Linked DNA regions of Oryctolagus cuniculus. Each later gene encodes a partner of the first gene's protein in a complex. Links are inferred from orthologs where the notes say so. Each region holds a gene or a part of one and is shown on either strand. Other genes may lie near its edges. The genes, in order: IRAK2 and IRAK4.

Region 1 (3,905 bases):
GGCAGGGACTTTTTCAAGACAGTGACTCAGCACAGCATGGCTGGCTCCCGGGCCAGCGACCCCGGAGCGGACACGGCCCACCTGGGCTCAAAGTCGGCCCCCGCCCCACACCTCAGCATTCCCGGCCCTTCAGTTCATTCCTCAGGTGCACGCTAGGTGCCCACCGCACCTGGCCTGGGCTCGCTCGGGGAACGCAGGGGCGACCTACACAGGTGAGGTCCCTGGGAGAGACAGGTGTAAACCGATGGGGCCGGAGAGCAGCAGGGCGCAGGAGAGGGCTCCCCAACAAGGTGCCAGGGGCGCCAACCTGCAGGGCCAAGGTAGAGGAATAAACCCCCCAAAGACACCCACCTCAACTCCAAGACCTGCAAACAGCCTGCTGGCCAAGGGGATCCTGCGGGCGGAATCTAGCTCAGGACTCTGAGACCGGGAGACGACCGGGGACTAAGCCAGCCCCGCGTACCCGCTGAGAGTGTCCACAGGCAGGCAGGAGCTCCGGCCTCGGGAGACACAGGAGGGCAGGGCAGCCATCACTGAGAGGCGGGACGATGGCCGCGAGCCAGGGGACGGCCTCCAGAAAGGCCAGATACCCACGCTGGCCGTTCCTCAGATGGGCAAACCCACGGTTCCCAGACTGCTCAGGAGCTCTGCTCCCGGGAACCACCCAGGAGAAATGAGACCGCATGTCCACATAAACCCTCGCTCACGTCTACTCTGACCAGCAGTGTTCACAACAGCCAAACAACGGGAACGCTCCGATGTCCATCCGCAGCTAAGTGGATAAGTAAAATACAGTCTACCCATACAACAGAACATCGCTCAGCAGTGGAAACAGGGACCACACATGCTGTGACTCCTTTATGGGAAATGTCTGGAACGGACAGCGCCTCAGGTAGGGGGAATGTGGAGAGGCCGAGACAGAGCAGTAAAGCCCACAGGGTTTCTTCTGGGGTAACAGAAATGTTGTGAGACTGACAATGACAGTGAGTACTCCTCTGTGAATACCCTAAATGCTGTTGGATTGTATTCTACAAACAGGTGCAGTCTGGGGCTGGCGCTGTGGCATGGCGGGTAAAGCTGCCACCTGCAGTGCCAGCATCCCACATGGGCACTGGTTCAAGTCCCGGCTGCTCCACTTCTGATCCAGCTCTCTGCTGTGGCCTGGGAAAGCAGTGGAAGACGGCCCAAGTGCTTGGGCCCCTGCACCCACGTGGGAGACCTGGAAGAAGCTCCTGGCTTCAGATCGGTGTAGTTCCAGCCGCTGCAGCCATTTGGGGAGTGAACCAGAGGATGGAAACCTCTCCCTCTCTCTCTCTCAGAGGATGGAAACCTCTCTCTCTCTCTCTCTCTCTCTCTCTCTCTCTCTTTCCCTCTCTGTGCCTCTGCCTCTGCCTCTCTGTAACTGCCTCTCAAATAAATACAGGGGGGAGGAATCTGTTTCAACAAAGCTGGTTGGTTGGTTGGTTGGTTGAATGCCTGGGGACTGCCATCTGAATTCACAACTGAGGGCTAGGCCAGGACGGAAAAGTCTAGAACAAGTCGCCCACACCACTTATGTCCCCTGCCCAGTAAAAATCCAAAGTAGTAGCCCACTGCAGCACCCGGAACGAGGGCAGGCTAGAGAATGAGGCGGCAGCTGACACTGTCACAGCCCCACCCCACCCCACCCCCGCGATATGGGGGAGGAACACACCTCCATCCCACCGTACTGCCTCGACCATTTCTCCTGGCCCCTCTCGCTCGCTCACTCTCTCACCGTACTTAATAAAAATACACATGAAAAGAAAACCCAACTCCATGTTGCTAAGGAATACCGTCTGACAAGGGAATGACCGGGCTATGTTTTAGGTGTGGGGTGGGGGGCAGGTTACCCTGTACAATGAATGCACAAGACAGACTCTGGAAAAGATCCACACGGAAGTCATCGCGCTACGGGCACGCATGAGGAGCATCCTGGCACCTGGCCCTCTGCGGGCGCCCACATCCTAGGAGGGGTTACCCCGGGCAGGACTGGAGCTCACCTGCTCCCACAGCGCAGGTGCACCTGCGCTGCCCGGGCTGCGACCCCCGGGCCGGGATCTCCAGGAACACCCCCGCGGGGCGATCAGACGCCCGGACCCCGGCCTGGCGCTCGCCCCCGGCTCCCGGCTGCCGAGCCGATACCCCGACGGGTCCCCTCCCTCGGCTTCGGGACCCACCGGCTTCTGCACGAACAGCCTAAGCGCCGAGCTCACGGCCGCGCTACTGGGGCAGCAGTGCCAGTCGCGCCGGCGCAAACCGCAGAAGCTCTTCCTGAGGAAGCTGCGAGCGTCGCCTCCAGTCGGGACGGCGGCCGCCCGCGGACCCCCGACGCCACCCGCGCCGCGCCCCCGGCCCGCGCCGAGCCGCGCAGACCCCACCACAGAGCCCCGCCCGCGCGGCCCTCACCGAACTGCATCCAGTCCCACTCGTTGAGCGTGTCCATGTTGCGGCACAGGTCGTCCAGCACCCAGGCGGGCAGCTGGTGGATGTAGCAGGGCATGGCAGCGGCCGCGACGGAGCGCAGCGAGCGACTGCCGGCCCGGCGAGGCCAGCGCGGAGCCTCGTCGGCGTGGGGGCGGGGCCAGGGCCCAGGGGGCGGGGCCGGACGAGCCTGAGCCAGTAAGAGCGGGCCCTGGGCGGGCCAGAGAGGAGCGGGCCCGGGCGTGGGCGGGACTGGACGGAGCCGGAGCCAGTGAGGGGCCGGAGAGGGGCGGGGCCGGGCGTGGGCGGGTCCGAGTGGGGGCCACTACCGCCCCCCAGCGGCCAGGCTTCCTACTCCACTCTGAGCCCCTGTCCACCCTCGCGTCCAGGGCTATCCTCACAAACACTATGGGTCACCAACCGCAGGCCACATTGTAGAACTTGGGAACCGGCAGGGCAGAGGAGACCAACAAGGTCCGCACTGAACAAGCTCACAATGTGTGGGACAGTGGTAAGTATGGGCGGGCTTGTGGCGTGGAGGGACGTGTGTCCACGGGTTCGAGTCCTGGCTCCGCCTCTGACCCAGCAGCCTGGAGGCGCACGTGTGATGGTCAAGGCCTCGGGTCCCTGCCCCCACGAGGGGGCTCCTGGCTTCTGCCTGTCCGGTCCTGGCTATTGCAGGTGTTTGGGAGTGAACAAGCCTTTCAAACACGGAAATAAAAATTTAAAGAAAAACAAAGCCGCTATAGACGCCCAGCCCGACCTCCAGAGATCTAAACTGGGTCCCTCCGGGACAGGACTCCCACATTAGCTTTTTTTTTTTTTTTTTTTTTTTTGACAGGCAGAGTGGACAGTGAGAGAGAGAGAGAGACAGAGAGAAAGGTCTTCCTTTGCCGTTGGTTCACCCTCCAATGGCCGCCGCGGCCGGCGCACCGCGCTGATCCGATGGCAGGAGCCAGGAGCCAGGTGCTTATCCTGGTCTCCCATGGGGTGCAGGGCCCAAGCACTTGGGCCATCCTCCACTGCACTCCCGGGCCACAGCAGAGAGCTGGCCTGGAAGAGGGGCAACCAGGACAGAATCCGGCACCCCGACCGGGACTAGAACCCGGTGTGCCGGCGCCGCAAGATGGAGGATTAGCCTAGTGAGTCGTGGCGCCGGCCATAAAAAAAAAAAAAAAACCCTAGGGACCAGTGCTGTGGCACAGCGAGCTAACACCCTGGCCTGAAGCGTCGGCATCCCATATGGGCGCCGGTTCTAGTCCTTGCTCCTCCTCTTCTGATCCAGCTCTCTGCTATGGCCTGGGAAAGCAGAAGACGGCACAAGTGCTTGGGACCCTGCACCCCACGTGGGAGACCCGGAGGAAGCTCCTGGCTCCTGGATCGGTGCAGCTCCGGCCATTGTGGCCAATTTGGGGGTGAACCTGCAGATGGAAGACCTCTCTCTCTCTCTCTCTGTCTCTACC
Region 2 (3,805 bases), on another chromosome or scaffold:
GAACCATGTGTCAGCAAGAATTGGGGAAAATTCCAAAGAGAAGGTGAAAGCTTAGTTTGGAGGAATTCCCTGAAGCTGATGGTTGTGCAGAAAACAGAGCAGTGCATTGCAGAGTCTTGTAAAGAACGATGACATCATGAAAGCATGTGGTGTAAAGGACCAACATCAAGAAACCAGTGTCCACGGCCATGCTGGGCATTTGAACTTCATTCTGTAAGCAACAGGAACCAGCTGAAGATCTCACAGTACACATCAGACTTAACTCTTAGGAGGACACTCTGGCAAGGCTGCAGTGAACAGATGAGAACTGGTATAGACTGGCTTCAGGTTCACAAGGAAGTTTTATAGTAAAGCGAATGGAAGATAATGAGGTTCTGAACAGAGGCAGAAGACTGGGCTGGCAACCTGGAAGTGCAAAATTCGAGGCAGCTGCAGGACTGTGTAATCTGTATGACACAGGCAGTCAATCTTTAGCTTGGGGGACAGCGCCTTAGGGACTTGACTGATCAGAAAGGAAACAGGAAGGTTTTGACTGAGGGTTGCTGAAGACAATGAGTTTGATTACTGACGAGTTGATGGGAAGGCTCCGGTGGGACAACCAAGTGAGGTACTACAGACATGGGGTCCCTGAAAACACAGGACTGGAGGCTGTGTACAGACTTGAGTCTCTTTGCCTACAGAGAGAGAGTTAGAGTTAAGATAATATCATGCAGCAAGAACACGGGATAACAAGGCAAGGACATGAGGAAAAACCAGTTCCTAAGGATGAGAGTGAGATCAGACCCTCTGCTTGGGCTCCTTCCTACATTCTTAGGAACCTTACTCTGCAAGCTGTCTCATCTCTGTCTTCCACAGAATCTTTTCCTGCTTTTCTGGACCCTGAGTATAAGCATGCTTTTATCTCTGCTATCTTAAAGCATTTCCTGGGTGGTGTGTCTACTTGCACCTAACACCCATCAGCAGCCAAAGGTCTGGGAGACTTGTCCTCCCTCCTGGGCTCTCGCCTCCCACTTCCTCTGCAACCCCCAGCGGCTCTTCTGAATGCTCCCTCTTGGGACACCCCTCCGTGTTTCCAGGGACTCACTCTGGTCCTGTTATCATCTCACCTTTGTGTGCAGGTACCTTCTGAGATTACTTTTGGGGATCTCTTCCTCTTAGCCACTAATTCTTAGGGTTCCTTGGGACTTAATCCTAGGCTGTTTTCTTAATTTCTCTCTCCCTCCAGGTGAACACAATCATACAGCAACTCTTAACTAGTATCTCTACACAAGTAATAGACATATTTATGCCTTCGGCTCAGCTGTCTTTCAGCTCCACACCTGCACAGCCCACTGTCTAGTTAACACCACCACTCCCACACCTTAAGAAAACAGCAAACACAACACGCATAAAGAACTCATATTTTCCTTCCACTCCTAACTTTCTCCTCTTTCATTCCTTTCTGCACATGTCAATCAGGCCACGTGCATTCCAGACTGCAGGTCTGGAAGCTGTCATTCCAGGAGTCATTCTTAAAACACTTCTCTCATACAACCCTCCCTTCCCACAGCCAAGCTATCAGCAAGCACTGCCATCTCTCTCTCGATCTATGCACTTCTCTTCCTAGGACCTGCCCCCACCAAGACTGCTGATCGCCTACTGCCTGGCCATCTTACACACTGTTCCCCTCTCTCTAGGGCTTGTGTGGCAGCACAGCCAGCTAAGCCAACACCTGCAATACCGGCGTCCTATATTGGAGCACCTGTTTGAGTCCTAGCTGCTCTGCTTCTGATTCAGCTTCCTGCTCATGCTCCTGAGAAGGCAGCAGGTGCTGGCCCCTGCTGCCCACGTGGGAGACCAGGATGGAGTTCCTGGCTTCTGCCTACCCCAGCCCCAGCCCCTACTTCATTGAGAAATGAAGTAGTAGATGGAAAATCTTTCTCTTCCTCTCTCCCTTTCTGTCGTTTTGCCTTTCAAATATATAAATCTTTAAAAAAGAAAAGAAGTGATCTCTGCAAAGCTTGGACATGACACCACATCCCAACATAGTCTTGGGTGGTGTCTCATTACACTTCTGAGTCCCACAGCTTGCAGCTCGTGCCCACTCCCATCATCTCTCCTCACATCTCCTGCATTTTCCACATGCCAATCATGCTGATTCACTTCATGGCTTAACCCAGTATATTCCAGGATTCCCTTCACTGCTAAAATCACAAATACAGTTCCTTCAGCCTAGAATGTTCTTTTCTTCTTCTTTCATAGCTGCCCTCATGTTATGAAGACTTATTTCCTGCTCATTTTTTAAAACTCAGCTTAAATATCACTTCCTTGGGAGCCCTCCTTTATACTAACACTATTTCAATACAATAAAATTCTATAATCTTGTGAAGATCTGATGGAAGCCAATTCTGTACATGATGCTTTTGCTATCTGTTCCATGTACATTCCCTACTGTAGGGAAATACTTAACCAGAGAAAAACATCAGCAGGAGAGCTGAAAGCACTCACAGAGGATGACAGTGATTCAGAAAAGAATATTGACCCACAAACCAAGAAAGGATCAAATCTACACAAGGTGAAATGGTCAAGGACAGAGTAACACGCTCTTTTTTTTTTTTTTAACTTACAGATACTTTATTGCTCACCTTTCACACACAGCACACCTCTAACCATTTTCTTTCACAGCTTGACAATGTTTACGTACACAAAAACCCAGCAAGAAGCATCATGTCACGGAGAAGTCAGTAAGAGAGAATGTAAATCATCAACTCAGCCAGGCTTTTGTTTTCTGCAGCAATAATAAAGGCCGCCTGCACTAAGCAAAAATGTTTTACTTCGTAGCGCATTTCTTCCATTACAAAAAGTCTCCTGCCTAGAGCAAACTAACTTGTATTTGCTGATCCAGTGGTATTAGTAACACGCTCTTAAAACATAGAGCCGGCTGGCGCCGTGGCTCACTAGGCTAATCCTCCGCCTAGCGGCGCCGGCACACCGGGTTCTAGTCCCGGTCGGGGCGCCGGATTCTGTCCCGGTTGCCCCTCTTCCAGGCCAGCTCTCTGCTGTGGCCAGGGAGTGCAGTGGAGGATGGCCCAGGTGCTTGGGCCCTGCACCCCATGGGAGACCAGGATAAGTACCTGGCTCCTGCCATCGGATCAGTGCGGTGCGGGCCAGGGTGGCCATTGGAGGGTGAACCAACGGCAAAGGAAGACCTTTCTCTCTGTCTCTCTGTCTCACTGTCCACTCTGCCTGTCAAAACAAAACAAAACAAAACAAAACCAAAGAGCCAGGCTAAGTGGGGCGAGTCCTAACAGTCGGTCACTGGGTTTGTGGGAGAGGAGACTACAGAAGTCCTTCGTGGAAAGTGCTCTCCTAGACTGATGAGGAGAAGGCCCAGGGGCTCTAGGTTGGGGCACACATGTCAGCAGGGAACAGAATGACCGAGAACATATTCTCTGAAGGTGACTGTCTCTAAGCTCTTCAATAGCAGCATTTACCTTTTAATATCTCTATGAATATGATGATTTTCGTGTAAAAAGCTGATGCCAGCTGCAGCACCCTGAGCGATGTTGCATCTTGTGTGCCATGAAAGTGGTGCTGTATCATCCTTACAAAGAAACAAACCAATTAAAAAGAGGAGGAAAAAAGAAAAAAAAATTATGGAAAACATTTAACAGAGAACATAATGGCACTTTAACAGGTTCATGGAAATGGAATTATTTTTTGCACCAATGTAAATTTATGCCTTAATTCTGCTGTCCTACAAACCTGTTGACATATCCTCATATTATTTTGGCAACAATGAAAAATGATATTATTAATAAGAATT

What was found.
Region 2: the proteins of IRAK2 (region 1) and IRAK4 are in contact, whole or in part, in a crystal structure (PDB 3MOP), measured with the Homo sapiens proteins. The link is inferred for Oryctolagus cuniculus from reciprocal best matches to the Homo sapiens genes IRAK2 and IRAK4. Residues at the interface, in NP_001561.3 of Homo sapiens: Tyr6, Ile36, Lys44, Met48, Glu59, Trp62, Trp63, Trp64, Gly65, Met66, Arg67, Gln68, Ala69, Gln73; in NP_001107654.1 of Homo sapiens: Asp24, Phe25, Pro28, Gln29, Lys34, Glu92, Phe93, Phe94, Ala95, Pro96, Ser98, Val105.

What each region holds. Positions count from the first base shown.
Region 1 is NC_091441.1:116,663,835-116,667,739, forward strand, and holds the start of IRAK2 (interleukin-1 receptor-associated kinase-like 2), read right to left. Parts: upstream 2,588-3,905; 5' UTR 2,522-2,587; coding exon 2,428-2,521; intron 1-2,427. UniProt on the Homo sapiens protein: Binds to the IL-1 type I receptor following IL-1 engagement, triggering intracellular signaling cascades leading to transcriptional up-regulation and mRNA stabilization.
Region 2 is NC_091440.1:134,906,713-134,910,517, reverse strand, and holds part of IRAK4 (interleukin-1 receptor-associated kinase 4), read right to left. Parts: intron 3,584-3,805; coding exon 3,474-3,583; intron 1-3,473.